Linked DNA regions of Diceros bicornis minor. The protein of the gene in region 3 purifies or fractionates together with the protein of the main gene of each other region. This does not show direct contact. Links are inferred from orthologs where the notes say so. Each region holds a gene or a part of one and is shown on either strand. Other genes may lie near its edges.

Region 1 (7,282 bases), on a different chromosome or scaffold from region 3:
CTGATGTTCCTCACACAAAAAAAAAAGAAATATTGAGTGCCTAGACAATTCAACAAATACTGGGTACTGAGACAGCTGGGTATCTAAATGCAAAAGAGACCCCTGCCTTACAACATACACAAAAATTAACTCAAAATGGATCAAAGACCTAAATGTGTAGAGATAAAACTATAAAGCTCTTAAAAGAAAATATAGAAGTAAATGGTTTCTTAACTATGACACCAAAAGCACAAGCAACAAAAGAAAAAATAGATAAATTGGACATATCAAAATTAAAAACTTTTGTGCTGTAAAAAATACCAATCAAGAAAGTGAAAAGACAACACACAAAATAAGAGAAATATTTGCAAATCATCTATCTGACAAGGGATTTCTGTCCAAAATATAGAAAGAATTCTTAAAACTCAATAATAAAAAGATAAATAAACCAAAAGATCTGAGCAGACATTTCTCCAAAGAAGATATACAAATGGCCAATAAGCATATGAAAAGATGCTCAACATTAGTCATCAGGAATATGCAAAGCAAAACCACAATGAGATACCATTTCGCACTCACTAGTATGGCTATAACCAAAAAGACAGACAATAAGTGTTGCGGAGCACACAGAGAAATTGGGGCCCTCATTTACTGCTGGTGGGAATGTAAACCAGTGGGGCCCCTTTACAAATAGTTTGGCAGTTCCTTAAAAAAGTTAAACATAGAGTTACCATTCGTCCCAGCAATTCCACTCTTTCAAAAGAATTGAAAACATACATCTGCACAAAACCTCATATACGAATGTTCATAGCAGCATTAATTATAATAGTCAAAACAAGTGGAAACAACCCAAATGTTCATTAACTGATGAGTGGATAAACAAAATGTGGCATACCCATACAGTGGATTATTTTAGTCATAAAAAGAAATAAAATACTGATACATGCTACCATTTGGATGAACCTCGAAAAACATTACACTAAGTCAAAGAAGCCAGTCATAGAAGGCCACAAATTATGATTCTATTTACATGAAATGTCCAAAATAGGCAACCTAGAGAGACAGAAAGTAGATGAGTGGGTTGCCTAGGGGTGGGGGGATGGATGTTAGGGAGGTGTAGAGGAGATTGCAGAGTGACTGCTAAGGGGTAAGAGGTTTCTTTTAGGGGTAATGAAAATGTTCCAAAATTAGACTGTGATGACGGTTGCACAACTCTGTGAATACACTAAATTCTGTGATTATACTGGCTTAATTTTATGGTATGTGAATTAATAAAGCTGTTAAAAAAGAAATACTTCTCAAAGGTTAGTATGGAATCCATCAGTGTAAAAAAATACCCAACAGTTTCTAAGACCCATGAAAGGAGACATCCTAGATACCTTACCAATTTTGATCTCCACTCCTCATGACAGAAGACGCTAAACACAGCTTCTCTCGGATAGACCACGGCTCTGTGGGGCCAGTACTCAGCAGCTTGTGTTCTGAAATGAGAGAAGGCTTAGAGACAACCACTAAGACAGTGGTTCTAAGCCCCAAAGGCAAGTGGCCAGCCCAGTGGCACAGCAGTTAAGCGTGCACACTCTGCTTTGGCAGCCTGAGGGTTCCCAGGTTCAGATCCCGGGTGCACATCAACCCACCACCTGTCAAGCCATGCTGTGGCGGAGTCTCATATAAAGTAGAGGAAGATGGGCACAGACGTTAGCCCAGGGCCAATCTTCCTCAGCAAGAAAAAAAAAAAAGAGGAGGACTGGCACCGGATGTTAGCTCAGGACTGAGCATCCCCACCAAAAAAAAAAAAAAAAAAAAAAAAAGCCCCAAAGGTAGGACTAGACGCCTAATACAAAACAATACAACCAACTTTTAAGGACAAAGAGAGCTATCACCAAATCTTGATTTTCATCTTCCTAGTAAAATGCAACCACTGAGGCGGTCCCTATTGACTGCATGCGAATTGTACTCTATCTGGCAAAAGATTTTATTTCTTCGAATGCCATGTCTACTCTGCTTTACTCAAAAAAAAAAACGTGGGGGGAATGTCAGTTTCCCTTCAGTTTGGGAGAACCGCCTTATATTTAAGGCACTTCTCCCAAAACGCCCAGTTTTAAGAATACGTTATTCCAGTTTGAACGCAAGGGCTTATTTCCCACGACTCCGAGCGCCACCCCCCCTACCCCGCCCCCACTGCCCCGCCTCCTTCGCAAAAACTTGTTTACTTCTCTCAGTAATTCCACTTCCCTTTAGCTGTCGGGCTTAAAAGACCTCTTCGATCCATGAAACACACGAAAATGGCTGAGATGCATGAAACCCAATTTCCCCAATGGCACAAAAAGCTCTCGGTTAAAATACCGGGCCTCACAAACGTTAGTCAGAAAATGAATGCCGGCCACTCCGTATGGCCCACAGCGTTTCTCCACCCGCGTGTCCGAGTCTCTAGAGCACCTTTATCTCTCACCCCACAGAGCTCCCAAACACACAAGGATTCACTGAGCTGCTTCTCTCAAATCTCCGCGGCCTCCCTGAGACACAAGATTCAACACGGCTAGGCCCCTAACCGTTGGCCTTCACGACACCGTCGAGCAAAGGTCTCTGAAGACCCTGGGCTCTCAGGCAAATCATTGCTCCTACTCCCTAAGCGTGTGGCAGAAAATCTGGCGCCTGGCCTCCGCTCTACAAACGCCTTCCACGCAAAAGCAGCCCAGATACTTACTGCCCGTTCCTGTAGCCATCTTGGCCCCGATGTCTCCAACCCCGGAGGCGAGACAGCCTAGCAGGGCCGAAACCCGGGGAACTCTGGGAAGCAGAGTCCGGGAGTTTGTTCGCGGTGCCTCCTGGGAAATGGAGTCCCACACCCCAACGCGCGACGAAAAAGCACCCTAAACCAGGTCTCTTTGTGCGCACCTGGGAAGGAATGTGCTAAAGAAGAACAAAGGATGGCGGCTGAAGCCTCAGGATTTCCTTTAGGCTTCTTAGAAAAGAAATACCTAGGGTTCAAGAAAAAGTGTTAAGCGGGCAGGATTTCAGCCGACCCAACTCCAAACTCCGACAGTTGGTAACCCGGACCCACATTAGAGCGGAGAAGTCAAAGCCCCGAGCAAACGGTCTCCCAGCCTCGCCCGCCCCCTTTCCTTGCGCTGATTGGTAGCTGCAAGCTTCGCTATCTGATTGGCCGAACGAACGCAGCGCGTAATTTAAAACATTGTATCAGTAACAAAAGGTGTGCCTCGTGGGCGGAGTTGTGCTCTCTGGCAGCGAAAGTCCAGGTTCGGCGGCGAAAATCAAGGTTCGGTGGCAGAGTGTGAGTGACCGGAGAAGGACCAAGTGTCGCGTCTTCAGGTGAGTGTGGGGCTGTGCTGGAGCCCAGCTGGAGTACCAGCTCTTGCCCTCGCGGAATAGGCTTTCAGAAAGCGGTGCTGCTGCCATCCCTTGTTTTCTTAATACCTCTGTCCTCACTGTGGGCCTCCGGCCGAGGTTGGAGAAGGAACCTAGCCTACTGACACTACCTCCACAACACCGGTGGGCAAGGCACCCTGCTTGGATCGTGGCCTTCTGCTTTTGGAGCCAGATATCTGTTCATTCCTGTTCGAGGTCGGAAATGCTGCCTCAGGCTGGATTAAATGATTAACTCCTCCCATCCCCTTCCCCTCTGCTGGTAGTTGAAGGGAAAAGGGAGTGGGAATTCAGGCAGCGAGACCAAGGTGTCCTGGGGCAAGGGAATTTTTTTTTCTTACCTAGAATTTGCAGCCCCTCTGTCCCCTAAGGTTCTCCTCCCTACCCACCCTTGTCTCTTTTTAGACCTAAGCTGCCCCTGCTGTCATGTCGCAAGGGATCCTTTCTCCGCCAGCCGGCTTGCTATCAGATGAGGAGGTCGTAGTCTCCCCCATGTTTGAGTCCACAGCTGCGGATTTGGGGTCTGTGGTACGCAAGGACCTCCTGTCAGACTGCTCTGTCATCTCCACCTCCCTGGAAGACAAGCAGCAGGTAAAGGAGTTGGTTGGAGAATGGCTTGGGGTACCCAGGCAGAAAAAATTTTCCTTCTACCCTTCTAGGTTCTTCGGCTGTTCTAATAATTAAACTGACGTAAGACAGATTAACTGGAGAAAAACAAATTTAATTTTGTACATACAGGCAGTCAGGCAACTGAGGCTTAGATGCCATCCTGAGCTAAGGAATGGGATAGGGACCTGGGGTTTCAAAGGGGAGGAGGGCAATTCACAGGAAGATAATAAGAGCAGATGTTTGGTAATCAAATGTTTGCCCTGCCATGTAGATAAGTCTTTCAGATAAAAAGTTATCTCTGGTAATAGCTCTCTTTCTGGGCCAGGCCCCCTCTGTAAAATCTTTTAGACAGTTAAGGGAGAGGTAAAGTTTTTCTTGAGTCTGCTGGATCATAATTGCTTTCAGCTCACAATAATCCACTTGCCAGAGTGGCACATTTTGGGGTGGCATATTCTGTTCCCCTTCAGTAGTTTGGGGGCAGAAAGTGATATCCTCAGCCTACTAGTTGTCCATACAGAGTAGTATGAAGTCAAAAACCAGCAATCCTGAGGGTCTGAGAGATCAATTCAAAATTAAGAGATGACAAGTAAAAAATGTAGAGTTGTGTGTCCATGAGAAGTATTATTTGCATTGCATTAATGAAACACCCTCAGTGCATACTCTCAGGTAATCCTATGAGGAAAGGCTAATAGTTCTCTCTCCTTCACCATGAGGCCCAGAGGTGTTAAATAATTTGCATAGGGTCATACAGCCATCAAGTAGGTGGAATGTACATTCAGGTTTTAAAATCAGCCATTGCTTCCATTTATGGAGCCTTTCTTTCTGCTAAGCTGGGTTTCTCAGCTGCAGCATTATTAACATTTGGGGCCAGATAATTCTTTGATATACAGGGGTGTACTGTGCGTTGTAAGATGTTTAGCAGCATTCCTGGCCTCTACTCACTAGATGTCAGTAGCTCCTTCCCACTTGTGACAACCAAGACTACTCTCCTGACATTACTAAAGTTCCCTTGGGAGGGAAATGGCCCTGGTTGAGAACAGCTCCACTTAGAAGTCTCCTCTTTTATAGAGAAAGTTTCATGAAAGCAGGAACCTTGATAATGTCCCTCACTGCGGACTACCATAGTCCCTGGGCCATAGTAGGCAGCTCTCTAAATATCTGTTGAATGAATGAGGTGGGTGCTATTATAACCCCATTCTATAGATGAGGAAACTGAGGCAAAGAAATTTCAAGAACTTTTTTTTTTTTACCCCCAAAGCCCCAGTAGATAGTTGTATGTCATAGTTGCACATCCTTCTAGTTGCTGTATGTGGGACGCGGCCTCAGCATGGCTGGAGAAGCGGTGCGTCAGTGCGCGCCCGGGGTCTGAACCCCAGCCACCAGTAGTGGAGTACGTGCACTTAACCACTAAGCCATGGGGCCGGCCCTAAATAACTTTTTCAAGGTCTCAAAATTACTAAATGATGGAATTGGGACTCAAATTCAGGTGTGTCTGCCTCCAAGGTGCCTAACTACTGTGCTTTGCCTTAATATCACAGGCTGATTTTCATACCGGTCAACAGTTCTAACTCAGATAATCAGTGTGTTAAGCCAGGTTTTCAGGATACTGAAGAGACAGGGAAGGGTGATAAAGTAGTGGAAAAGTCCATGTGTGTTGGAATGATTATGGAACCAAAGAGTAGCTGCACAGAAACATCTGAGGTAGAATGTTAGCGTGATTACCAGGAACTGTGTTATGTTTGCCAATCTTAAATAACTGCTGAGATTAATATGTAGTTCCGGCCTGGAATTCTGCCACAGGTTCCATCTGAGGATAGTACAGAGAAGGTGAAAGTATACCTGAGGGTCAGGCCCTTGTTACCTTCAGAGTTGGAACGACAGGAGGATCAGGTGAGTTTCTGAGGAGGGAGGATTCAAGGTAGAATGATGCAGTACAGAAGAGGTTCCCAGGAACGTTTCCTTCTGTGACAACTGTGTTTTCCCCCTTCTCAGGGTTGTGTCCATATTGAGAATGTGGAGACCCTTGTTCTACAGGCACCCAAGGACTCCTTTGCCCAGAAGAGCAATGAGCGGGGAATTGGACAAGCAACCCACAGATTCACCTTTTCCCAGGTACGGAGGTACTGGTCTGTGAACAAGGGACCAACGTGTAGGGGGTACTTCATTCCCTCTTTAGCGGGAAAGCTTTTTACTTCACTACGAGTTCCTTATATATGCATGTCTACAATTTTGGGGACCCTTGTGTGCTAGTCAATGTGTCAAGTACTTTATATGAATTAATTCCCAACAACTCATTATTATTATTATTATTATTGTCACTATTTTTCCTGACAAGGATACTGTGGCTCAATGAAGGTAATGTTGCTGAAGCCATGTAGCTAGTCATTGGTAGAGTTAGGACTTGAATCTAGATCCATCCATCTCCAGAGTCCACACTTGTGACCATTATGTTGTCCCATTGTGTGTGCAGCATCGGACTTAGTGGACAGCATTCCTTAAGTATTTGTTGATTTGGATGAAAGATGGACTGGCAGAGAGTGGTTGAGTCTGCAGTGTTTAGGGAGCAGCTGGCAGCACTGCAGGAAGAAGCTGCTTGAGTAGTCTCCAGAGCCAGCCACCCAAAAAGGGATGTATCTGCTGGCTCTGCACAGGAGGCAAGTGGGAGATGAAGAATGGGCCTCTGAGAAACTGGGTCTGTCTCTAGATCTTTGGGCCAGAAGTGGGACAGGCATCCTTCTTCAACCTGACCGTGAAGGAGATGGTAAAGGACGTACTCAAAGGGCAGAATTGGCTCATCTATACATATGGAGTCACCAACTCAGGGAAAACCCACACAATTCAAGGTTAGTAGGCCTCATAGGATTCCTGACTGGCCTGTAATGGTGTTGTCTTTGCCTTTTGATGCTCTGAGTTGGGGAACAGCACTTGCCTCAGCTATCTGTCATTCACATACCTCCAGGTACCGTCAAGGATGGAGGGATCCTGCCCCGGTCCCTGGCTCTGATCTTCAAAAGCCTCCAAGGCCAGCTTCATCCAACCCCTGATCTGAAGCCCGTGCTCTCCAATGAGGTAATCTGGCTAGACAGCAAACAGATCCAGCAGGAAGAAATGAAGAAACTGACCCTGCTAAATGGAGGCCTCCAAGAGGTGAAGCGTTGGTGTTCATAGAGATGGGGATAGAGGGACAAATCTCTGGAAAGTTTTGTACTTATCTTCTCCCTGGGCCCCTCCAGGAGGAGCTGTCCACCTCCTTGAAGAAGAGTGTCTACATTGAAAGTCGGATGGGTACCAGCACCAGCTTTGACAG
Region 2 (7,315 bases), on a different chromosome or scaffold from region 3:
AACAGCAGCACCAAAGATCAGATCTCTGTCTCCTAATTTCACTTTCCAGGTACACTTTAAAGGCACCCTGAAAATGGCCCTACACCCCCCTCTGGCTGCTGCTGTCAAAGAAAACTGCACTGATGCTAAGTGCAATTTTGACCTCCATTCTAGCAACCTGGCCCTAATACTGTTGAAAAAATATACAGCTAGCTAGGGAGTGCACCACAGAATAACAAATGCCTATTATGGAAGTGGAGAGAAAGACTGGCAATTGGGGAAAGAGCAAACCACTGTAATAGATACATTTTTTTAGATCCTTCTCCACTCTTAATCCTTTCCAGCAAACTACAAAGGTAATTCTGCCCAATGCTCCCAAATTCAAGGTTGATGAGATTCCAATTCCCCATCTTCCCATTGGTTTGTGCTTACTAGGAACATCACTCAAAAGCCCGCATCAGTCTCTCAATTCCTGACAAGGCAAAAGGGCCTTCCCTCTGACAATGGGCTAGACGCCCAACAGTTTTCTTTACCCTATGCTTTAACAGAATTTCAAGTGCAGTGCAAAACAGTCACTGTGCTTAAAAATTGCTGACAGCATATGCTGTACCATTATTAGATGAGAAAAACTTGGGCGTTTAAAGGAATCAGGAAAACAATACTACTTCTGATAACTCATTTTTCCACTACATTGATTTTTCTACATTTTGATATACTTGGCACTGAGTATTTCTACTTTTTCCTACAATATATTCTCTAAGTATGTCTTAAAAATAACTAACTATAATTTCTTAAAGATGGTTATACAACTCAGCTTTGACACAAGAGTAGAAAACACATCTGGAAAGTGATGGTTAAGGGCAGAGACTCTCTTAGGTAGCTTTCAAAACCTTACTTAATAAGGGTACCTTGGTTCCTATTCTTCTCTATTTCACCACAATAGCAGCACATGGAGTTCCCTACGCCGTTATCCCCCCTCACTCGACCATCTCTTTAAGTTTAGAACTAAAGCACTTCCTCCAGAAAGCCATCCTTGACTGTTCCAAGCCTCAGAGATTTTCCTTTGATATCCTACAGTAGGGATTAACTTTTTGTGCCATGGACCCGACAGTTTAGTGAAGGCTACAGGACTTTTCCTAAAATGTTTTTATGAACACACAAAACACAGTACTACAAAGGAAATCTACTGTATTGGAATAGTTACCAAACACTTTAAATATCATTTTCTATATTACATGAGCTCTTTAATTGATGTAGTAAACATTTAGCTGCAGATCCAGTAACTATCATAATTCTGAAGTAATGAGGAGCATAAGTGACATCCGACTATATCTCCCACAACTGTAAACCCTGGGATATGAAAACACACTGCCACTACTACTGCTAGGTTTTTCTTTTGGCGGGGGTGGGGGCGCCCACATTCATAATTAAAATACTAAATTTCAGTTAGATAATAAAAAAAGAAAAACTTTTCCCGTCCAAGTTCACGGATCTTCTGAATTAAATCCACTAACTCTAGATTTAAAATCTCTGCTCTAAAACACGCGATTTAAAAAAAAGAATCCATAGGAGGTAGTCACAGCTTCTCAAAACGGGAGAAGGCAGGTATTAAGAGTCTGTCATTATCAAAAATACCCTTGAAAAACTCTTAAATATTCCATAAGGTTACAATATACTTGGGGTTTGAGTATATGACTCTAACGGTAATCCTAACGCACATTAACGTTTGAAAATCCTTACAAGAAAATTTTTTTGCAGACATCTGGACATCTATGGTAACTAGCACATATATTCATAACAATGAAAAGGTAATTTTAAAGCGTTCCTGCTGCGTTTTATTTCCACTTTAGTTTACTATAAAGCCTCCACTTTAATATACATTAATACATGTGTTAATTGTGAAAATTAAAGAGCTGTCTTCCATTGGAAGTCAGGTTCCACCGTCAGCCAAGACCTGTCGATCAAAACCCAATTAATAAAAATCTCAACTTTCAAGTTACTATTAAACGTTATTGCAATTAATCAAACAGTTGCTGTATTTAAAAGATGACATCAAGGCAATAGGACTTATAAATGGAAACATCACAATACTGCATTAAAGGAGCTTTTATTTGTTTTTATACAAGCAATCGCACAGCATGAGCGCGCGCACTCTCCCTTCGGATCTTGGCACCGGGCTTTTCGGAGAGCAAAACGATGCCTTCGGGCGACACAAAGCAGACAAAGACGCCCCTGCTCCTTTCTCCGGCCCCTACCCCTCTCCCCGAGGTCGGCGCGGGGGAACCGGCTTCCGCGCGCTCGCGGGGGAAGGGGGCGCTGCATCTGCCCTCGAGCTGCGGCCGCGGCCGGCGCCGGCGGCCATGATGCGCCAGCCATCTCGCAGCGGCCATTTTACAACGCAGTTCTCCCGCCGCGGGGCGCGAAGCCCACCCCCCGGCCGCAGCCCCGAGGCTCCACCGAACGCCACCACCTTGGGGCTCGAGGCGGCTCCGGAGCGCCCGCCGCTGGCCGCCCCCGCGGCCGGAGACCCCGTGCGAGCGCCCGAACCGGCCGCCGCTCCCTCCCCTCCCCTCCGCCACATCACTTCCCCTCAGCGCCGCCATGGCGCACCCGTCGCCGCCCGACAATAGGCTACTTTCTCCGCGCCCTCTTCCTCAGAACAATAACAAACACTTGACTACGGCTCTGCCACGCGCCAGGCGCGCTCTCCCACTCGCACGCCCGCGGGACGCTTTCGCTTCACACGGCGTCTTCTCCCAATGACGCACCGAAACTACCCGCCGCAATGCGCTTTCTGCACAAAGCCCTGCCCGCCGCCGTCTCGGGGCGCAGCCCAGGCCGCCCCCGGGCCCCCAAATTCGACCACATCAAGCCCGCCTCCCTCTCCTGCGCCGTTAGGTGCCCTTTCCCAAAAGGCCGAGACTCACCCTCCTGGAATTTAGGCTTCGGGTCCTGCTTCGGCGCCATTTATAAGTGATTCGCCGCCGCCTCCTCCTTCTCCCACCACCCCCGACTACCGCCCCCTACTCTCTACCCCACCCAACTCCGCGTCAGACGCGCCGTCAGGCACCGCCAGCTCTACATCCTGGGCCCGATTTGCCAGCGCCCGCAGACCTCACAGCACCGCGACCCGCGCAGCCGCCGCTCCAGCCAACGGCTGCCCGCCGCGCACGCGCCCCTGCGCCCGCGCCGCCCCGGGGCACGCCGGGATTGGTAGTTCCAAGGCGGCTGAGGCGCCGCGGGGTGGGGGAAGGGCGGTGCCCCTGGCCCCCCCCCCCCCCCATTCCCCATTTACCTGCTCCCGGACCGCCAGGGGTTGTTCAAGCCTGGATTTGATTTTGTGCGTTGTTGGTGCGAGGGGAAGTGTGGCGGTGTGCATCACCGGCGATAAAAGAATGGGAAAAGCCCAGTTGTGGAGTCCCATGGGCAATATAGGGCCACAATGATGTGGGCTTTGAAGTGGCCTGAGAGAAAAGGCTGCCTCTGAAGCCTACCTGCAAAAGCATCTCGAGTAGTTTCTGCATAGGACAGCTTTAGGGCCAGCAGTCTGGCCAGAAAATGGAGTCGGCGTCTAGAAGTTTCGTTGGTTAGCAAGCTCACTGCCAGTTTATTTGGTGGCACTAATGGCCGTTTGTCGGCGCCTGCTCATACCCTTTTCCAGGAAATGAGGAAGAATGGGAGACACTAGGCAGGCTGGGGATCGAGCTTTGGCTTTTCGAGATAATGGAGTTCTGCGCGCCACCGAAAGAGGCTAACGCGAAAAATGCCGTATAATATCTAAGCGGGAGTTCTGCACTTGCCCTATTTGTGCAATCTTTTGTCACCTAATTTCTTTGGGCTATTATTAAATATACACACAACTTAAACGAATTTCCTCATGTCGTTCCCATGTTCAAAAAGTCCTTAGTTTGCTCAGCTGCAAAATGGGGAGAATAATAGCACTTTTCCATCGGTTTACTGTGATAGTTGCATGGAAAGGCTTCTGCGGTGCTTAACAGTGAATCAGTGCTCAACAAACGTTGAGGAGGAGGAATCCCAAAGTCCTTAGCCTGGCATTCAAGTGCGTCCACAAGCAGTGCTCAACCATCCCTCAGGCCTTACACTTGTCTCCACGGCTGTTCTAAACCCGCCCCTGAGCGTGCTATGCATCCCACCAATTCTAGACTCCTCTCCATTTATCTGACTCCGGTTTCTTTTTCCATCTTCCTTCCAACACAATGGCTTCTTGGGCCACAGAAATCCACAAAGAACCGCCATTCCAGTTGTCTATACACCACCTTGCTGGTACTACTCCTTCAAGTATCAAAGAAAGGGGCAAGGGCCTCTTTGTGACCCCAACCAAACTGTCCGGCACACTTCTTTTTTAAACTTTTTGAATAAAAATACTTTAAAATAATTCAATAATTCAAAATTTTAAAAATATAAAAATGAAGATAGTGAAAAGTTCCTTTCGCACCTCGGTCCCTCATCTGCCCATTCCCGCAACAAAGGTACTACTGTTACAGTTGTTGGAGGATCCTTGCAGAGTTCTTTATCCTAGCAGCCTCATTATGTTCTTTATTTATATTAAACTTAATTTTTTGCCTTTGTTTTAACTATACAAGTGATACTTGAATATTTGGGTTGTTCATGATGCAACAATTCACAAGTATAAAATACAGGGCAAAACTTCAAGAATCCTTTTATTTTCCCTCATTTACTTCCCCATCAGTTGGCATGGACATTTTTCTGTACTCCCTATTGTTTTTTCTTTTACCGTAAATAGACTGTACGTATTGTTCTGTGTCTTCTTCTTTTTTAACTTAACGATATGACTTAGAGATCACTCCAATTACATGTGTCCATCTCACATTTTTAATTGGTCATGACATACCATAGTATAAATAGACCATAATTTATCTAACCTTGGTTCTGTTGCTGGACATTTAGGTTGCTTTCAATTTTCCACTGTTAGAAACCTACGTCTTTCAAACCTAAATCTTTGTGCACACTGCTTTTATTTTTTTTAAGAGCCTAGATGTAGAATCACTGAATCAAAGGATGTGGGCATTTTAAACTGTCTTATGAAAGGCTTCATCAATTTACATTTCAACCAGCAATTTAGGAGAAGGCCTGTTTTGCGACATCCTTGCCTAACAAAGTAATACCAGTCTCTAAAATTTTGTGTTAATATAACACATGTTGTACAAAGGAAACCAGACAGCAAAGAAATATACTTTATCGATGGTGTTAGAAATCAGGAGCATGATTAACTGGAGTGGAAGGGGGCACTGACTTGGACACGGGCACTTAGGGAACTTCAGGGAGCTGGAAATGTTCTATATCTTGATCTGGTGTGGTTACAAAGGTGTTTACCTATGTAAAATTCATGAAGCTGTACACTTACGAGTAATGCACTTTATCTTATCCACATTATGCCTTAATAAAAATATCTCAAAAGTCACTTTATTTTATATTTTATTATGAAAATTTCAAACATACAGAAACGTAGAAAGAATACATTATATATCATCTCATTTCAACAATTGTATTTTCCCGTATTTGCCTTGTATCAGCACCTATCATGTCTGATTTCTTCAGTATGTACTTCCAAAATAGAAAGGCATTCTCCTACGTACCACAATACTGTTGTCACACCCAACACGATTAACAATAATTCCCTAAAATTATACGATTTCTACTCCACATTTCCACACTTGTTCCTAAAATATTTTTATATTTGTATGCTTGTTGCTTGTTTTTTCAAAACAGGATCCATTAAATGACAATGTATTGCATTTGGTTGTTAGAGCTCATCTTTTTAACGTTCTAGACCAGAAATTCTTAAAGTAGGAGTCCATGGATACAATTCAAAGGGTCCGTGAACTTGGATGGGAAAAACTTACATCTTGATTTTCACCGAACTTGTGAAATTTAGCATTTCCTTTTGTTATAAATGAAGGTACCAAACTACAATAGTATCAGCAGCACACGTGGCTTTGTCACAATAAAAATCAGATGTTTTCATATCACATTACAGTTCCTACATATATCTCAGAGATATTTACATTCATCATTCCTTTGAAATTATTGTACTTATTAGACCTGCTGTTAGATCTTGTTATTTAATGCATTAAAAATGAAGCATGTACATTACCATATCATATTTTAAGATGTTTTGATAGCTGTATTTCAATATAATTGTTTTCTTTTATAATCCTATGTTTTTTATTTTGTACACTTAAAAACATTCTGAAAAAAGTGTTCATTGGCTTCACCAGACTGCCATGGGGGTGGGAGCGGAGCCCTTGGCACAAAAACAGTCCACCCACACATATACACCTTATTATTAGTGGTATTAGTATTTGTTCATGACATTTGCTTTTGAAGAAACTGAGGCTTTTTGAATGTCTGACATTCTGGATTTATCTGATTGTTTATTCATGGTGTCACTTAACTCGTTTCTCTTTTCTCTGTATTTTCTACAAACTTAAAGTTAGGTCTCAAGACTTGATTAGATCTGAGTGTTTTTAACAATATGTTATAGCTGATGCTATGCACTTCTCATTGCATCACATCAGGAGGCACGTGATGTCTGGTTGTCTCATTAGTGATGCTAAATTTGATCACTGGACAAAGAGGTTACTTGTTTCCTTGGACACTTTTGGTTTTGCATAATGAAATAGTTTTTTAATTTAAAAACACATACCAAAGCAGAGGGGATAGTACAATGAACCATGGTGTATCCATCATTCAACTTCTGTAGGTATTAACATGTGGCTAATCTTGTTTCATTTATACCCACCTATTCCTCCATCCACCCAAATACCTACACACAAATCCCAGATATCATATCTATTTCATTCATAAACAAGTGAGTAGGCATCCCTAAAAGATAAAGGCCCTTTTTAACACAGTACCATTATTACATAAAAAAAAATAATAATCCCTTAATATCTTCAAGTATCCAGTCAGTGTTCAGATTCCCCCGATTGTCTCATACATGTTTTTTTATGATTGCTTGGTTGAAATCAGGATCCAAACACAGTCCACACATTTCATTGCATTTCATTTAATTGAGTTGACTCTGTTTGTCTCTTTCTTTTTCTTGACATTTACTTGTTGAAGAAACTGGATCACAGAGAATTAACACACTTTCTTAAATTCATTTATAGAATAATTGAATGTAAAGTTTTCAAATATGAGTTCTATGGGAGAATAAAATGTGTTTGATTTGGTATATCTTTGAATATATTCTTTTAGTACAAATAGTAATAAATCATTAGTCAACATAATAAATTATCAGCCAACAATAAGAACAAAATATCCTTTGAGATCAAGCTCATTTTTAAATGTT
Region 3 (6,709 bases):
ATAACGTAACTCGGGAGTGACAGAAATCCTGTCTCTTCTGTGAAATGGTAATAGTATGTACCCCAAAGATGTCACCAAATATTGAACAATTCAGGGCGACTTTAAAACAGCGCATCACATACAAATTCTGAACTGAAAGTTCCGTCTGTGGAGACAGATACATACAGGACTTCCCCACCTGCCCTGCCCTCCCCAAGTCCACCACAGCAGCAGGGCCGCGGGCCGGCACTGGCACATACAGCAAGGACAGCCAGAGCGGAGCTGGAAACAGCCCAACACTGTAACTTGTCCCATTCCAGCCCCTGCACAAGTTTTTACATCTTCAATAGCTCGTTACATAACATTCAAAAAAAAATTACACTTAGGTCTTTTGACTTAGTTGATCTACCGAATTAAAGGTTTAATTTCAAGGAAAGAAATATGCTTAAGTTATTGCTGGATGAGATACTTATTCAAAACAAAGTAGTTCCTATTACAATCAAGCGAATTTAAAACGCAACTAATTTGGGATATGACCTTTATTGAGCTTCTCCACCGGAGTGGAAATAATGTCTGTACAAAACCAAATGTTTGTTACTATAACTTCTGCATCACAATTAAAATCCAAACAGTTTTTTAAAAACAGTCAACTCAATCAAAACCCACTACTTCAGAATCAATAGCTTCTTTGAAGCCACAGTAACACTTAAATATGGTTAAGACTCGAATGCAGAAATTTGGTTGGTTGGAAAGCTAATTAAACTTCCAACTTGCTCAAATAGAATTACAAAAAGGCAAAATTGTGTTTTTCACAGAGATACAGTCCACTGGAATCACCAACACTGGACAGCTGTTAGAGTATTTAGAGTCCTGAGATAACAAGGAATCCAGGCATCCTTTAGACAGTCTTCTGTTGTCCTTTCTTCCCAATCAGAGATTTGTGGATGTGTGGAATGACACCTAGGAGAGGGACAGAAATTCTACTTTTTAATATACATTTTTTTAAATCACACAGTACTTAAAGCCAAGACAGTTCAACGTCCAACTTGGAAGATGTCTTTAAATCAGTAGCTCAAGAATGCAGAGTAAAAATTCATTAAGTTATATATATAAACAAAATTCAAGGATGCAACCATAATGCAGATCAGGGAAAATATATTTGGGTCCTCTTCTAAACTAAAAATTACCAATGAGAACTAAAAAAGAATTCTCTTCTCTAAAGAAATCTACAATAAAATTTTAGTATTTACATACCACCACCAGCAATTGTAGCCTTGATGAGAGAGTCCAATTCTTCATCTCCACGAATAGCAAGTTGCAAGTGACGAGGGGTAATACGCTTTACCTTCAAGTCTTTTGATGCATTTCCTGCCAATTCAAGTACCTAGAAGGCAGAATCTAATCAATCTCCTTCCTTCTTTCCTTAAAGTAAAGATCCAGAGAGTAGAATCAAATCTTCATTAAAGCTACCAATCGTCACCACCTCCCACTACCTGAATAGCAAGACATGCGAAAACCATAGGCAGGACGCATACAGCAATTTTATTTCCAAGAGCAGCAAACTCAAGCTCAGCAGGACCCCTTAACGACCACCAGCTCCCTCTAGCGTTCTCAGAGCCTCCTCGCGCGCTCAGGGCCTGGGAGTTTTCTTGCATCACTTTCCTCCTTTGCTCTCGCCGCCTCCCTCAACACCCCCCCAAACCTCTTCCAGATTATAGGCGTACACCCATTTACCTCTGCGGTGAGGTACTCCAGGATGGCTGCGCTGTACACAGCGGCAGTCGCGCCCACACGTCCATGGCTGGTCGTCCTAGATTTCAGGTGCCGATGAATGCGGCCCACCGGGAACTTCATTCCAAGCGCAAACATAAATGCACAAAGATGCAAGAGTCAAAGACGGCGAAATCCCACGCGCGCCCGAGCGAGCGCAGGGACGCCGGCGCAGAAGGCGCCCGCCCCTCCCCGAGAGGTATTGTGTCGGCGGGCCGAGTCGCGACACCGCATCGCCCACGCAAAGCCGCACCGCCCACCCAGAGCGACGGTAAACAAGAGGGGGAGAAGAAAACCGCCGCGATGCCCAAGCTGCGCCCACCGCCACTGACCTGCAAGCCGGCTCTCTGCGAGCGGGAAACCGCCTTTGTCTTGGCCTTTCCGGAGTCCTTCCCAGCCTTACCGCCAGCCTGCGGCGCGCACGCCCCGAGCCAAGCCGAAACGGAGATAGGATTACCAGGGCTGCGCCCCTCCCCCACGGCGCCGAGCGCCGCGGCCGCCCCCGCCCGGCCCGCGGTCCCCACCCCGCCCGCCGCGCGCCGGCCCCCGCCGCGGCCGCGCGCCTCCGCCCGCTCCCGCCGCGGCCCCCGGCGGCGCCGCGCGCACCACCCAGCCGCCGCCGCCGCGAGACCCGAGCCTGCTCCGCTCGCCGCCGACGAAACGCCTCCCCCCGCGCTGCAAGCCCGTCTCCGCGCGCTCCCAACCGTCGCCACTTCACCCCGTCTGCGTGTCTAACGGGTTTTCCTCCCGCCGGCACAAACCCGCGGGGTCCTCGAGCGCCTCCGCGAAGTTTACCATTTCCAATTCTGCGGCAGCTCAGACAAGCAAGGCAGAAAAAAGACTAGTCAGACACCCAGCGAGATCCGGCGCCTACTCCGCCGTCGCACCGCGATTCAAACTGCGCTGTCTCCCGCCTTCCCCGCTCCCTTTATACTGCAGAATGTTCCCTCATCCGGGAACTCGGATTGCTCATCCCACCAATGGCCGCTGCCCGCCCTCGGGACGCGTCCTTGAGGACTCAGCCAATGAGCAAGCGAAGAGAAGGGCGGAGGGGCGGGCGCTTCGAAGCTCCAACCACTATTGGGGCGTGGGGAGGGGGGTGGGGGACGGTGGAGGGATGGGAACGCAGAAGAAGGGCACGGCGGCGGGAGGGAAGAAACAGAGTGAGCTCTGCTTCGGCAGCGCGGAGTCCTGCCGGCTGCGGTCACGTGTCTGGGAGGAGGCCCTGAGGGTCAGGGGAGGGGCGGAGAGCGGCGGCCCCCGGTTTCCTAGCGGGCTCCGGGGACCACGTGAAGTGGCCACGGGGTACTTCCCGCCCCCTCCCCCACCCCCGGAGGCCCACAGCCTCCTTCCGGGGCCCCTCGTCCCCGCCCCCTGCGCGTCCCCGCGGCTCCTCCCCTCCTGTGTGACAGGTGGCGCGAACCCGTCCAGTCAGAGGAGCCCGGAGGCCTCCGCAAACCACAGCCTCTATGGAGGTTCTGCGTTTCTTGCCCCTTTGCGTGTCCCCAGCCGCCAGCTGATCACGGTCCCACTTCATTTTCAGCTGTGTCTCCCACCTCCTCTTTCCTCTTCACTTTTGAAAACCCCCACGGATAATTCCATAGGAACAAACCGTGGAGCAGTCATCTCATTGGACACAAAAGACCTTTTGGTCTAGGTAGGGAGGGCTCTGGGTGAGGCGGTATTCTTGTCTCTTTTTTTTTTGTGGGGAAGATCAGCCCTGAGCTAACATTCATGCTAATCCTCCTCTCTTTGCTGAGGAAGACTGGCCCTGAGCTAACATCCTTTGCCAATCCTCCTCCTCTTTTTCCCTAAAGCCCCAGTAGATAGTTGTACGTCATAGTTGCACATCCTGCTGGTTGCTGTATGTGGGTCTCGGCCTCAGCATGGCCTGAGAAGTGGTGTGTTGGTGCGCGCCCGGGATCTGAACCCCGGGCCACGGGTAGGGGAGACCGTGCATAAGCCGCTGGGCTGGCCCGGTATTCTTTTCTTTAATTGAATCGTACACCAGATTTTTCTGCAAACTACTATTGGTAGGTTGTGCCTATAGCCTGGTGTCTATAAAGTTGATTTAGTGAAACCTCAAAGCTATTGTGTCAACTTTTCTATCCTAAACATTTTGCCACATGACAAATGTTCAGTAAATGTCAGTGGGCTAACTCCCCACATGATTCACAGGCAGTTACAGATGGTCCATGTAATCAATTGCAAATGGTGGGCTTAAAAAATAGTACTGTACGCACAGTACTATCATGATGCCAGCTAGTCTTCCAACTAATAGATTAATAACACCTGTGTACATCTCCAACTGCTTAGAGACAGTAGGGATTTAAGTCTTTAATATTTACAGTGTTTAATAGCATATTACACATTAACGTAATTCAATATTTCCAACGTGAAGAAATTTTGGAATATGTATTCTTAAGTATTTTAGATTGGGTTTCAATTTGAAAGAGCTTATCAAATTAAGGGACCTCCCTGTGTCTGGGAGATAAATTCTAGAGAAGAGGTTCCCAACAATTTTGACATTAAGGCTTATTATTTCTTGCCCTTGGAACTGAGGCATTCTTATGATGTCATCAATAGCAAGAGTTAATCAGTTTCCCCACTGAACTGATATAATGACAATAAAAAGCTATGAAACCTGAGGTAATAGTTAACCTGCACTCCAGGGAGACTTCCTGATTTATAACTCACAAACCAACATTAATACCTTTTCCAGTTTAGAGAATATGTGCTCTTTGCTATGAGGCCCAACTAAAGGAATTCACTGCTGTCTCACTGAATAGTGGTTAAGAGAACAGCTCAGGAGCAGGTAGACATGAATTAATTCTACACTGCTTTCTTCTCACTGTGTCATCTTAGTTACTAATCTTTTGGAGCTTCAAGTTCCTCTTCTATGAAAACGGTGTAGTAACACCTATTTCCACGTGGTTGTTAAAAGATTAAAGGAGATGGTATGCACTGTGCTCTCCAGCACGTTTGTCACACAGTAAGCACTCAATGATAACTACTATTATCTTCTACAATGGTTGCTGGGGAGGGGTGAAATAAAATATTTTTGATTCCTAAATCTTTTTTCCTGTCTAGTACGTTACCTTCCTTTGATGTGGAAGCAGCCAGCCTGAAAGCTGCCCAAAGTGTACACACCCAAGTCATCCAACATCTAGACTAAAATCCAAAATTGGTTTACTACATTCAATAGTTTTCCTCTTCCTTTGGAGAACAGGACAATATCAGTTTCTCCACTTTTCGCAACAGTTGTGTGAAGATTTTCTACTGTCTTTGCTGCTCTGGAAAAGGCATGGTGCAAATACATTAATATTCTTGTGTTATCTACCCTGTATTTGTGTTTATACTAATACATGTATATAATATACATAGCCAGAACTATATAATTATTTTTGTTCAATGTCATACTCAATTAGCTACTTAATAAGTGCTCTCTTGTCATAAAAAACTAAACAAAGAATTCGATGGCCCTAATATTATTGACTCTCTCCTTAATAGCTTTTCCCTAACTCAGGCCGACTTTCTATGACCAGTTACTATCTCCTTTCAAACACTAGCATGTATGTTAACTACTGTTCTTGACTTTTTACATTGAGAATTTGAGAGAGAGTCTCACACTTGGGAATCTCAAATTTCTCAAGTACGTCTTGCTTTAAACATCTATTTTTAAGCAAATAGGAACGACTTCCCAATTATTTTACCTAGAGCATCCAAGAAAGGATGTACCTTCAACAACTCGCTCAGTGGTTGATAACTGAGTTCCAGTGCAGTAGAATACAAAATACTGACCTGGAGTGTAAGAGCGGAGAATGCGTCTGGCAGCCACTCACTAGCTATATGGCCTGAAGTAAGTTAAACTCTAAGCCACGGTTTCTTCATTTATTAAATAGGAATTCACAGCACCAGATAAGCCAACCTCATAGAACTGTGAGAGGATTTCATGAAGTATGAAGAATATACGGAATGGTGTTTTAATATTTGTGGCACAAAACCTGTTATTCTCCCTGAATTCTCAACATAAATATGATTATGTTAAGAGAAGCCTGTGTGTTTGACTCAGTGTTGATGAAGCCAAGGCCACGGATTTAAATGCAAAATTGCCCAGTTATACACTTCCCATGACCACAGATTATACACACTTAATTCACAAATACTACAGGGCGCAGGTTACAAGAAGATCAGCTGAATCTACTCTACCTGATCCACTGCCGTTTCAGGAAAAATAATTCAAAGATCATGGGACCCATTATCTCTTTTAATACAGAACTTATTTTTTCCTTACTTAACAGTCCTCAGAATTTTTGGAAATTTGCTGTTTTAATATAAAAAATCGAGTGTCTTTTCTTATATTATCCTTTCATTATCTATTATTGATCTCTAGGATTTGCTAGGCAGAGGGAGGGAGTCTATGTGTTAATATTGTTTTCCCAAATAAGATTTCACTTTCCTATATTAGTATTTTGTAACTTTTACCCCTCCAGCTAAATTGTAAATCCACATGCACAATAGTGTCCCTATCATACATTTCTAACATAATGGCAAGAAGATATTTGTAGACATTTAACACATTATTTTTATTGTATTATCGTCTTTTGTCTGTACATATGTACCTGAGATGAGATGCAATACCACACATCATAACACAGGATACGTAATCCCTTGCTAATAAAGGGACAGATGTGGTGTATTCCAGCTTGATGCTGTCAGCCTCTTAGGTAAACTAAAACATGGCCATTAAGTTGCACTAACGTGCCAGGCAACACGCCAGGCAAGAGCAGTTGGGAGACAGGATATATAGGGCCTAGGTTCCTCCCTCGATCTAGCTGAGAGGATTAGACAGGGAGGAAAATTTTGAAAATGCTCTAATCATTAAGATCACTTCAATAAGACAGTTACAAAATAAGTACATGATTGGCTGTCAAATCGACCATTCCTCTAGTTTAAAGGA
Region 4 (7,480 bases), on a different chromosome or scaffold from region 3:
ATATTGGTATGTTTTTCTGTTTTTAAAGGTTCAAAAAATTACAAATTAACAATAACCAAAACGTCAAGGGTTCAAAAGAAATAACAATATGTAGATATACCTCTCTATACTTCTTTTCTTTTTTTTTTTTTTATATTTTAAAAGGGAGGCTGGGCCGGGCCGGTGGCATAGTGGTTAAGTTCATGTGCTCTGCTTCGGAGGCTGGGGGTTCGCAGGTTTGGATCCCAGGCACGGACCTATACCACTCATCAAGCCATGCTGTGGTGGTGTCCCACGTGCAAAATAGAGAAAGACTGGCCACAGATGTTAGCTCAAGGCCAATCTTCCTCACCAAAAATAAAAGGGATTTATATTTTTATTTATTTATTTATTTTTTTGGTGAGGCAGATTGGCCCTGAGCTAACACCTGTTGCCAATCTTCCTCTTCTCTTCCGCTTGAGGAAGAGAAGCCCTGAACTAACATCTACAGCCAATCTTCCTCTAGTTTGCATGTGGGACACCACCACAGCATGGCTTGATGAGTGGTGAAGGTCCATGCCCGGTTTCCAAACCTGCGAACTCCGAGCCACCAAAGCGGAGCACGTGGAACTTAATCACTATGAAATTGGGCCGGCCCCTATACTTATTTTCTCTAATGTGTTCATCTCGTTTAGCTTTAACATAAACAAGTAAAATTCAGTACCCACAATCAGTAACTAAACCAGGGTCATTTATTTTTAACAAGACAATTTAATTTCAATTTTTGGTTTTAAAAAGATCTTATTTAAAATTTAAATAACTCTTAACAGAGACCTAAAAATTTTTTCATACATACAAAATCTTATACATACATTTAAAAATTATCTTTAAATTTAGGTCTATAATGCTAGAAATAACATATAGTTGAATTACCTTCTGAAAAGGAAGAATGTAAAAGAGTCCAGAAGGGTCCTTTATTTCATCTATCTGGTTAGCAGTAAAAGTTTTAAGTCGCGCCGTTTTTGACCTGAACTGACAGTTAGGAATAACCCTATAAATAAAGAAACAAATAATATAATTATTCCCTAAATACTTAGTTCCTAAAAATACATTTACTTAGTCATCACCCTCGATGCCAAAATATGCAAAAGCAGTTTCCCCCAAAATATGCAAAAGCAGTTTCCCAATCTGTCTTCAAATAATAAAAAAAAGTCTTCTTTTTTCTTTAAGGTTCTAGTATATACCAGGTTCTATACTGGACCTTTTATCTTTCTCAAATAATCCTCAAGGAATCCTTACAGGCGGGTATTGGTTCTGCCACTGCACAGATGAGAGCTGGGGCTTAGGTAAAGTTCCTGGTCTTTCTGACTTGAATGCAGAAATTCTTACTACCATTCTGGTAAAAGATTTACAAGTTCAAAATTCTGGCCATGAAATTAAGTTTCCATGAAGTCAAAGATTTTCTTTTTTTTTTAATATATATTTTTTAATAATTTTATTTATTTATTTTTTCCCCCCAAAGCCCCAGTAGATAGTTGTATGTCATAGCTGCACATCCTTCTAGTTGCTGTATGTGGGATGCGGACTCAGCATGGCCGAAAAAGCGGTGCATCCGCGCGCACCCTGGATGCGACCCCGGGCCGCCAGCAGCAGAGCCCACGCACTTAACCGCTAAGTCACGGGCCAGCCCGGAAGTCAAAGATTTTCAATCAGCAAGACGCTATAGGGTACAGAAGTAGGAAGTAGTTTTAAATATGGTTGCTGCCCACCATGAGCTTACAATCTAGTTAGGAAGGCAAACTAGAGCCATTATCAATCATAAACACACGTACATATGTATATGTATATATACGTGTGTGTATACATACAGAGAAAGAGAGAGAGGGAAGATATTAGGATAATACTGTAAAAATGTTTGGTACCTGCTTATTTCACTTACTATGCTGTCATTTTCTCTATATGTTTAAATATTCTTTGAGGATATGATTTTTAAAAGCTTCATTGTAGTCAATCTTATGGTTGTATTACAATTTTACTCAATTTCCATTCTTGATTTTTTAGGTTGCTTTCCACTTTTTTTTGCTACCATACACAATATCTATAAATAATATAGAGCATCCTGTACTTACTTTTATCAAATACCTCTTATTCCTTAGATAACTGATAATAGAATTGCTGTGTCAAAGAATAAGAAGAATGATACACATTGCCAAAATGTTTTCCAGAAGACTGTAACAATCTACATTCCTACAGTTTGTCCTCTTAAAACACAAAAAGGAAAAGAGGGAGAAAGGAAAAGAAAAATAAATCCTCTATGAATATGATAGAAGAAAAGCGTGTCTTTAAATCTGCTTACTCTTTATTCAAACATATATTACGAATGCCATTGTATTTCTGTTTGACTCTAATCAACCAGGTCACCCAATGAGCACCTCGAAAGGCTTAGGCACAAAGCCTTTCTCATTGTGGTTACCTTCACCAGTTTAATGCTATTTGAATTTCAAACTCTTCAAAGTCTCCAGCCACTAAGACAGTGGTTTTTACACTTTTTTTTAAAGCCATGGAACCTTTTAAAGATCCGACGAAAGCTACAGCCGCGTCCCAAACAAGATGCATATACACACAAAATGTTGCCCACGATTCCTGAGGGTTCATGAACTTGGTGTCCAACCGCTTCTCTACAAGACTATTTTCCTGAGCTATTTCCTGTTACGAAAGGAAACACACGTCCCACTTCCGGGGCCACGTAGCCCAAAATGAACACTAAAATCACCCTTCAAAGCGTCCTAACCACCCAGCTCCAACAAGAGCATCCCTCTGGCTCAGCTTAAGGCCGCGCGGGGGCGTTTGCAGTTTACTGATGTCCCAGGATGAAGGGTAGCATGTGAAACTACTAGGCATATACGCCTCGACCCTCGGAGGAAGCAAACACTTACGAGACATTTTCATGGCTGTAACCGATTTTGGCATTGTAAGCTCCGTTATCAAGCACTAAAGTCGTCATTTTAGCACAAACGACGGCGCCGTGGCGTTCTCTTCCCGTCCCTTCTGCTCACACGTTTTCCGGCACTCTATGGTTTGCAAGAGCGGGGCGTAAGGACGCTTCCGGTCTCTCTTAGCAACGGAGGACGCCGGAAGTCAGAGACCGCACTGCCGCCCTGCCTGTCAGCGCGAGTTGTAGCGTGCTTCCAAGCCTAACCCATACAAGTCGTGGCGAGATCCAACAAGAGTGGAAACTGCTGAGTGCTTTATCTCCCTTTGCGTATTTGTTCTTTATTTCGCAGATTGACTCGCTCCTGCAAGTTTCTTCCAACCCCCTGTAGCGAACCAGCTGTGTGTGTGTGTGTGTGTGTGTGTGTGTGTTCGAATAGTATGGTTCACACAGTGACATTTCTTGAAGAATAAAGTGCAAAACCATACGCAGCATGGAATTGGATTTGAGATCTCTTCACCCTCAGTCCCCGCAACTGCCCATCCGACTGTAGGAGCCGACCACCCTGAAATACAAATATGTTGTTCTGTCAGCCGCCTTGCTTTTCCACTCACTCTCTTACTCTTCCTCTGTCTACTTGTTCTTCGGGACAGAGCTCTGTGTCATTCTTATCTGAAGCTAAAAACGCTTCTCGACATCTGACTAGGGCAAACTCCTTTAATATCATAATGGTTAAGAGAACGAATTTTGGATTGGAATCCGGACTCTGCCACATAATGTCTGTGTAACCTTGGGCGGTGAAGATAATAATGGTTAATACATAGCACTTACTTAATGCTTGTGGGTAAACAGTTCTAAGAGCTTTACATATATGAACTAATTTAATCTTCACAATTTATGAAGTAGGTACTATTATTGAAATCAAAGAGATAGTGGTTAGGAGTGCCATCTTTGCATTCAAATTTCTGGGTCAAATCCTGGCTCTGCCACTAGATGGCTTGGACAGGTTAGTTAACCTCTCTATGCCTTAATTTCCTCATCTGTAAAATGGAATTATATTAATAACGCCCCCTTGCAGAATTGTTTTATGAAAAGTAAATTATAAAAGTCAAGTACCTGGTAGTAGTTATCATCCTCCTCCTCCTCCTCTTATATGATCATTCTCTGTTAACTTGCATAGATGGCAAACTCCTTGAAGTCAGGCACTTGATTGGTGTCAATATCCCTTTGTATCAAAAAATTGTTAAATGCTCAATTTTAGTCATTCTATTTTCTCTAATTTAATATTAAATTGATTAAACTCCAAACATGGAAAGAATATTTTATAAATCTTACATCATAGAGCAGCCATCATTTCTATTCATTCTCATCTTTTAAAACATGCTCTTTCAATTCTGTCTCTCCTTCTGGTTATCATTTGTCTTTACCCTTTGTCATTTAAGCTTCTCTTTTTGCTTTCCTAACTTACTCGCTCTTGGTTCAAGATCATTTTTGTTGTTGGCTTCAGCTCTCATTACGTACTGATAAATCCTAAAGCAGAATTTCCACCCCTAACTGTAATCTGAATGTTTCTACCCAGATATCCTGAGATAACCTTAAAGGCAACAAATCCAGAACTGAGTCTTATCTCCAAAACTGCTTGTTCCAGCTATATTACTTATCTCAATTAGTGTTGTGCCCCCAAGATCTACCCAGTGCCCCAAGCTAGAAATCTCAATTACCTTCAACCTCAATCCTTGACTTAATCTCTGGAGTCTGTCCTTGACTTTCATCTCTACTGATACTGCCTTCTCACCTGAAATAATGCCACTGCCTTCTCAATGCCCTTGCTGCCTCCATTCTCTTCTCATTGTGATCTGTCCTCTGTACTGCCAGCATAATTATCAGCAAATATTTTTCTAAATCAGAAAATTGATCATTCTCCCTAAATTCACTCACCACAGAAGTCTTCCGTGGCTTGACATTGCCTGTGAAATAATGTCTATACATTTGCAATCTCATTCCCCTAAAATCCATCTTACAGTGTGTACTGGTAAATGTTTAACAAGATCTCCAGGAAGAAAAAAAAGCCCTGATTTGTAGTGTTTACTACCTTCTGTGGTGTAAATATTGTAACAATGGCTGATTTCAAGCTATCCTGAGGTTACCAAATACCAAACACAGAATTGGAAAGAGATGCACACAATTGGTTCTCATGAGCCAGTATGAGCCAGCTTCAGCACAGACTTTTCAGTAAAAGCTCTAACTCCATTCACTTGCACACCATGCACATTCCTCTCCCAGGTTTTAGCACAAATAATCTCACATATATAAATATTAATTTTCATGTATGTACATGTATATTTTAGCAATGTATAGTTTTAAAAGAGTTAAAAAACATGACTCTGATATAAATACATAATGATGGGCTGGTAAAGTGGTTAAGTTTGGCATGCTCCACTTTGGCGGCCCGGGTTTGGTTCCTGGGCACGGACCTACACCACTCATTGGTGGCCATGCTGTGGTGGCAACCCACATACAAAATAGAGGAAGATTGGCACAGATGTTAGCTCACGGTGAATCTTCCTCAGCAAAAAATAATAATAATAATAAAAATAAATAAATAATGAACATGTGCAACAGATTTATTTGTCATATTAATGAGTGAACTAGCTTTATACCCTATCTTCTTGGTTCTTGCATTAATATAAGTTAATAAATCTTTGATGCACGTTCATTATATATTTGTATGACAGTCATGTTTTTAAATTTTTGAAAATTATACTTGGATAATTAAAAAGCAATTAACCAAAATGTAAACTAATTTAAAACACTGAATTTATGTTGGTTTTGTGACATTATGTGTTCTCTCAATCCAGGGAGAGTAAAATTGAAATTATTACCATGTATTTTCTCAATAAAAAGATACTATAACTACAATTATTAACCTGTGGGGTTCTTTGAGACTTATTACTTTGAAAAGGAATCCATGTTTTGTTCTAGCCACAACATTAGGCCACTTGCCATTTAGAAGAACTTGGACACTGACACTTCTGTCCTTTTTCATAATTGTGTTCCATCTGCCTGAAACATCATTTTCTGCCTAGTGAATTAATAATAATAGCTACCATTCTATTGTGTCTGGCACTCTCTAAGTCTTTACCTTCAGTAGCTTGATTAATCCTCACAACAACATCATGAAGGTAAATAACGTCATGGCGCTCCAGAAGTTCAATCCTTTTCCTATGATGACATAGCTAAAAAATCCACAGAGCTAGGTTTCAAATCTAAGTCTTCGACTTCAGGATCAGTTTTTTTAAGACATTAAGCTGACTTAGTCTTATCTTTGAAGTAGTATCTCCATTGTAAATCCATCTCTGACTTAACAGGATAGAATGAATCACTCCCTCCTTTGTGTTCTCATAGCACTTTGCTTCTGATTTCAACAATACTAATGATAATAATAATAGCACTTATTAAGAGCTTGCCACATGATAGACATTTTGTTGAACACTTTATATGCATAATGTCATTTAGTCCTCACAAAATTCTGTTAATTATTTTTAATATTTTCTCCAATAGATGAGGTAACTGAGGCTGACAGAGATTAAATAACTTGCCCAAGTTTACACAGCTACAAACTGGCTGAGCTAGTATTTGAACCAGAGTCTACTGACAAGAGCACCAAGAATCTACCTCCCATGCTAGGCTGTTAACTCTTCCACGGCAGGAGCAGGTTTTTTGTTTTTGTTTAGGCAACCCTAGATACTTGAATAGTGCCTAGTTTATAGTGCATGATAAATGTTAAGTGAGTAAATAGTCAACACACATATATCTCCTTTCTCTTTGAAAAGGGCCAGGTTGTTGGACTATGTGTAAACTACTCCCCCCAGAACCCCACCCCGCACATACCCACACACCTTCCTGATACATTCCTCAGAGGCAGTGTAATTTCTTACCCTCTTTTAGACATCTCTGGGGGGTCGTTTTCACCTCTGAAGAAAGGTGGTTTGGGGCTGGGTGGGGTGGAGGTGCAGAACCTAATAGTTTTGCCCGCTATTTCAAAAATTTCCTTCCTTTTTACAGAAATTTTTAAGTGAAATTTTACATCCTTATTTCTTTAGATACAACAACCTAATAAGGTGGGTAAGGCTGATATTATTAACCTATTTTGTAGATGACTCAATTCAGGCTAAAAGTAAGGAAATTATTTTAGCCAGGTTAACACAGCTAGAAAACACTAGAGCCAAGAACTGATTTTAGGCCTTCTAATTCCCAGGTCCTGGACTCTATTTAAAGACACGTTGTCAACTTTTCCTTCCCTTAGGACTGGAATGACCAAAGGAAACATTAAATTGCAGCATTTAGTCGGGGGAAGGCAGAATGCCTTAGCAAACGAGAAGACACTGAGGAAAGAATATGAAGAAAGCCGAGTAGGCAAAGAGAGCAAAGCAAGCAGAGCAGTTTGTGGAGCAAATTCTGAGGAAATGAAAAAGAGAAGTGCACGTGGAAGGATTCAGTGATGGAGGAGGAACATGACCAGAAGGTGGGGAGGGAGGACTAAAGCCCAAGGTTCTGGGATTGGGAGTTAAGCACCCACGGGCGTCAGGA

The links.
Region 1: the proteins of histone H2A.Z (region 3) and bromodomain-containing protein 8 purify together in Homo sapiens (affinity purification with mass spectrometry; 4 studies listed by BioGRID and IntAct, with this or other methods). This does not show direct contact. The link is inferred for Diceros bicornis minor from reciprocal best matches to the Homo sapiens genes H2AZ1 and BRD8.
Region 2: the proteins of histone H2A.Z (region 3) and MORF4L1 purify together in Homo sapiens (affinity purification with mass spectrometry; 4 studies listed by BioGRID and IntAct, with this or other methods). This does not show direct contact. The link is inferred for Diceros bicornis minor from reciprocal best matches to the Homo sapiens genes H2AZ1 and MORF4L1.
Region 4: the proteins of histone H2A.Z (region 3) and ACTR6 purify together in Homo sapiens (affinity purification with mass spectrometry; 4 studies listed by BioGRID and IntAct, with this or other methods). This does not show direct contact. The link is inferred for Diceros bicornis minor from reciprocal best matches to the Homo sapiens genes H2AZ1 and ACTR6.

The regions. Positions count from the first base shown.
Region 1 is NC_080740.1:56,788,992-56,796,273, forward strand, and holds the start of bromodomain-containing protein 8, read right to left. Parts: upstream 3,011-7,282; 5' UTR 2,706-3,010; coding exon 2,687-2,705; intron 1,461-2,686; coding exon 1,364-1,460; intron 1-1,363. Other genes in the region: kinesin-like protein KIF20A, read left to right, coding at 3,793-3,957, 5,776-5,865, 5,968-6,087, 6,680-6,818, 6,935-7,122, 7,209-7,282. UniProt on the Homo sapiens protein: May act as a coactivator during transcriptional activation by hormone-activated nuclear receptors (NR). Isoform 2 stimulates transcriptional activation by AR/DHTR, ESR1/NR3A1, RXRA/NR2B1 and THRB/ERBA2.
Region 2 is NC_080744.1:71,150,657-71,157,971, reverse strand, and holds the start of MORF4L1 (mortality factor 4-like protein 1), read right to left. Parts: upstream 3,004-7,315; 5' UTR 2,947-3,003; coding exon 2,907-2,946; intron 1-2,906. UniProt on the Homo sapiens protein: Component of the NuA4 histone acetyltransferase (HAT) complex which is involved in transcriptional activation of select genes principally by acetylation of nucleosomal histones H4 and H2A.
Region 3 is NC_080747.1:82,677,166-82,683,874, forward strand, and holds histone H2A.Z, read right to left. Parts: upstream 2,653-6,709; 5' UTR 2,548-2,652; coding exon 2,545-2,547; intron 2,160-2,544; coding exon 2,082-2,159; intron 1,828-2,081; coding exon 1,714-1,827; intron 1,364-1,713; coding exon 1,234-1,363; intron 940-1,233; coding exon 878-939; 3' UTR 501-877; downstream 1-500. UniProt on the Homo sapiens protein: Variant histone H2A which replaces conventional H2A in a subset of nucleosomes. Nucleosomes wrap and compact DNA into chromatin, limiting DNA accessibility to the cellular machineries which require DNA as a template.
Region 4 is NC_080764.1:22,937,780-22,945,259, forward strand, and holds the start of ACTR6 (actin-related protein 6), read right to left. Parts: upstream 3,020-7,480; 5' UTR 2,963-3,019; coding exon 2,895-2,962; intron 1,010-2,894; coding exon 892-1,009; intron 1-891. UniProt on the Homo sapiens protein: Required for formation and/or maintenance of proper nucleolar structure and function. Plays a dual role in the regulation of ribosomal DNA (rDNA) transcription.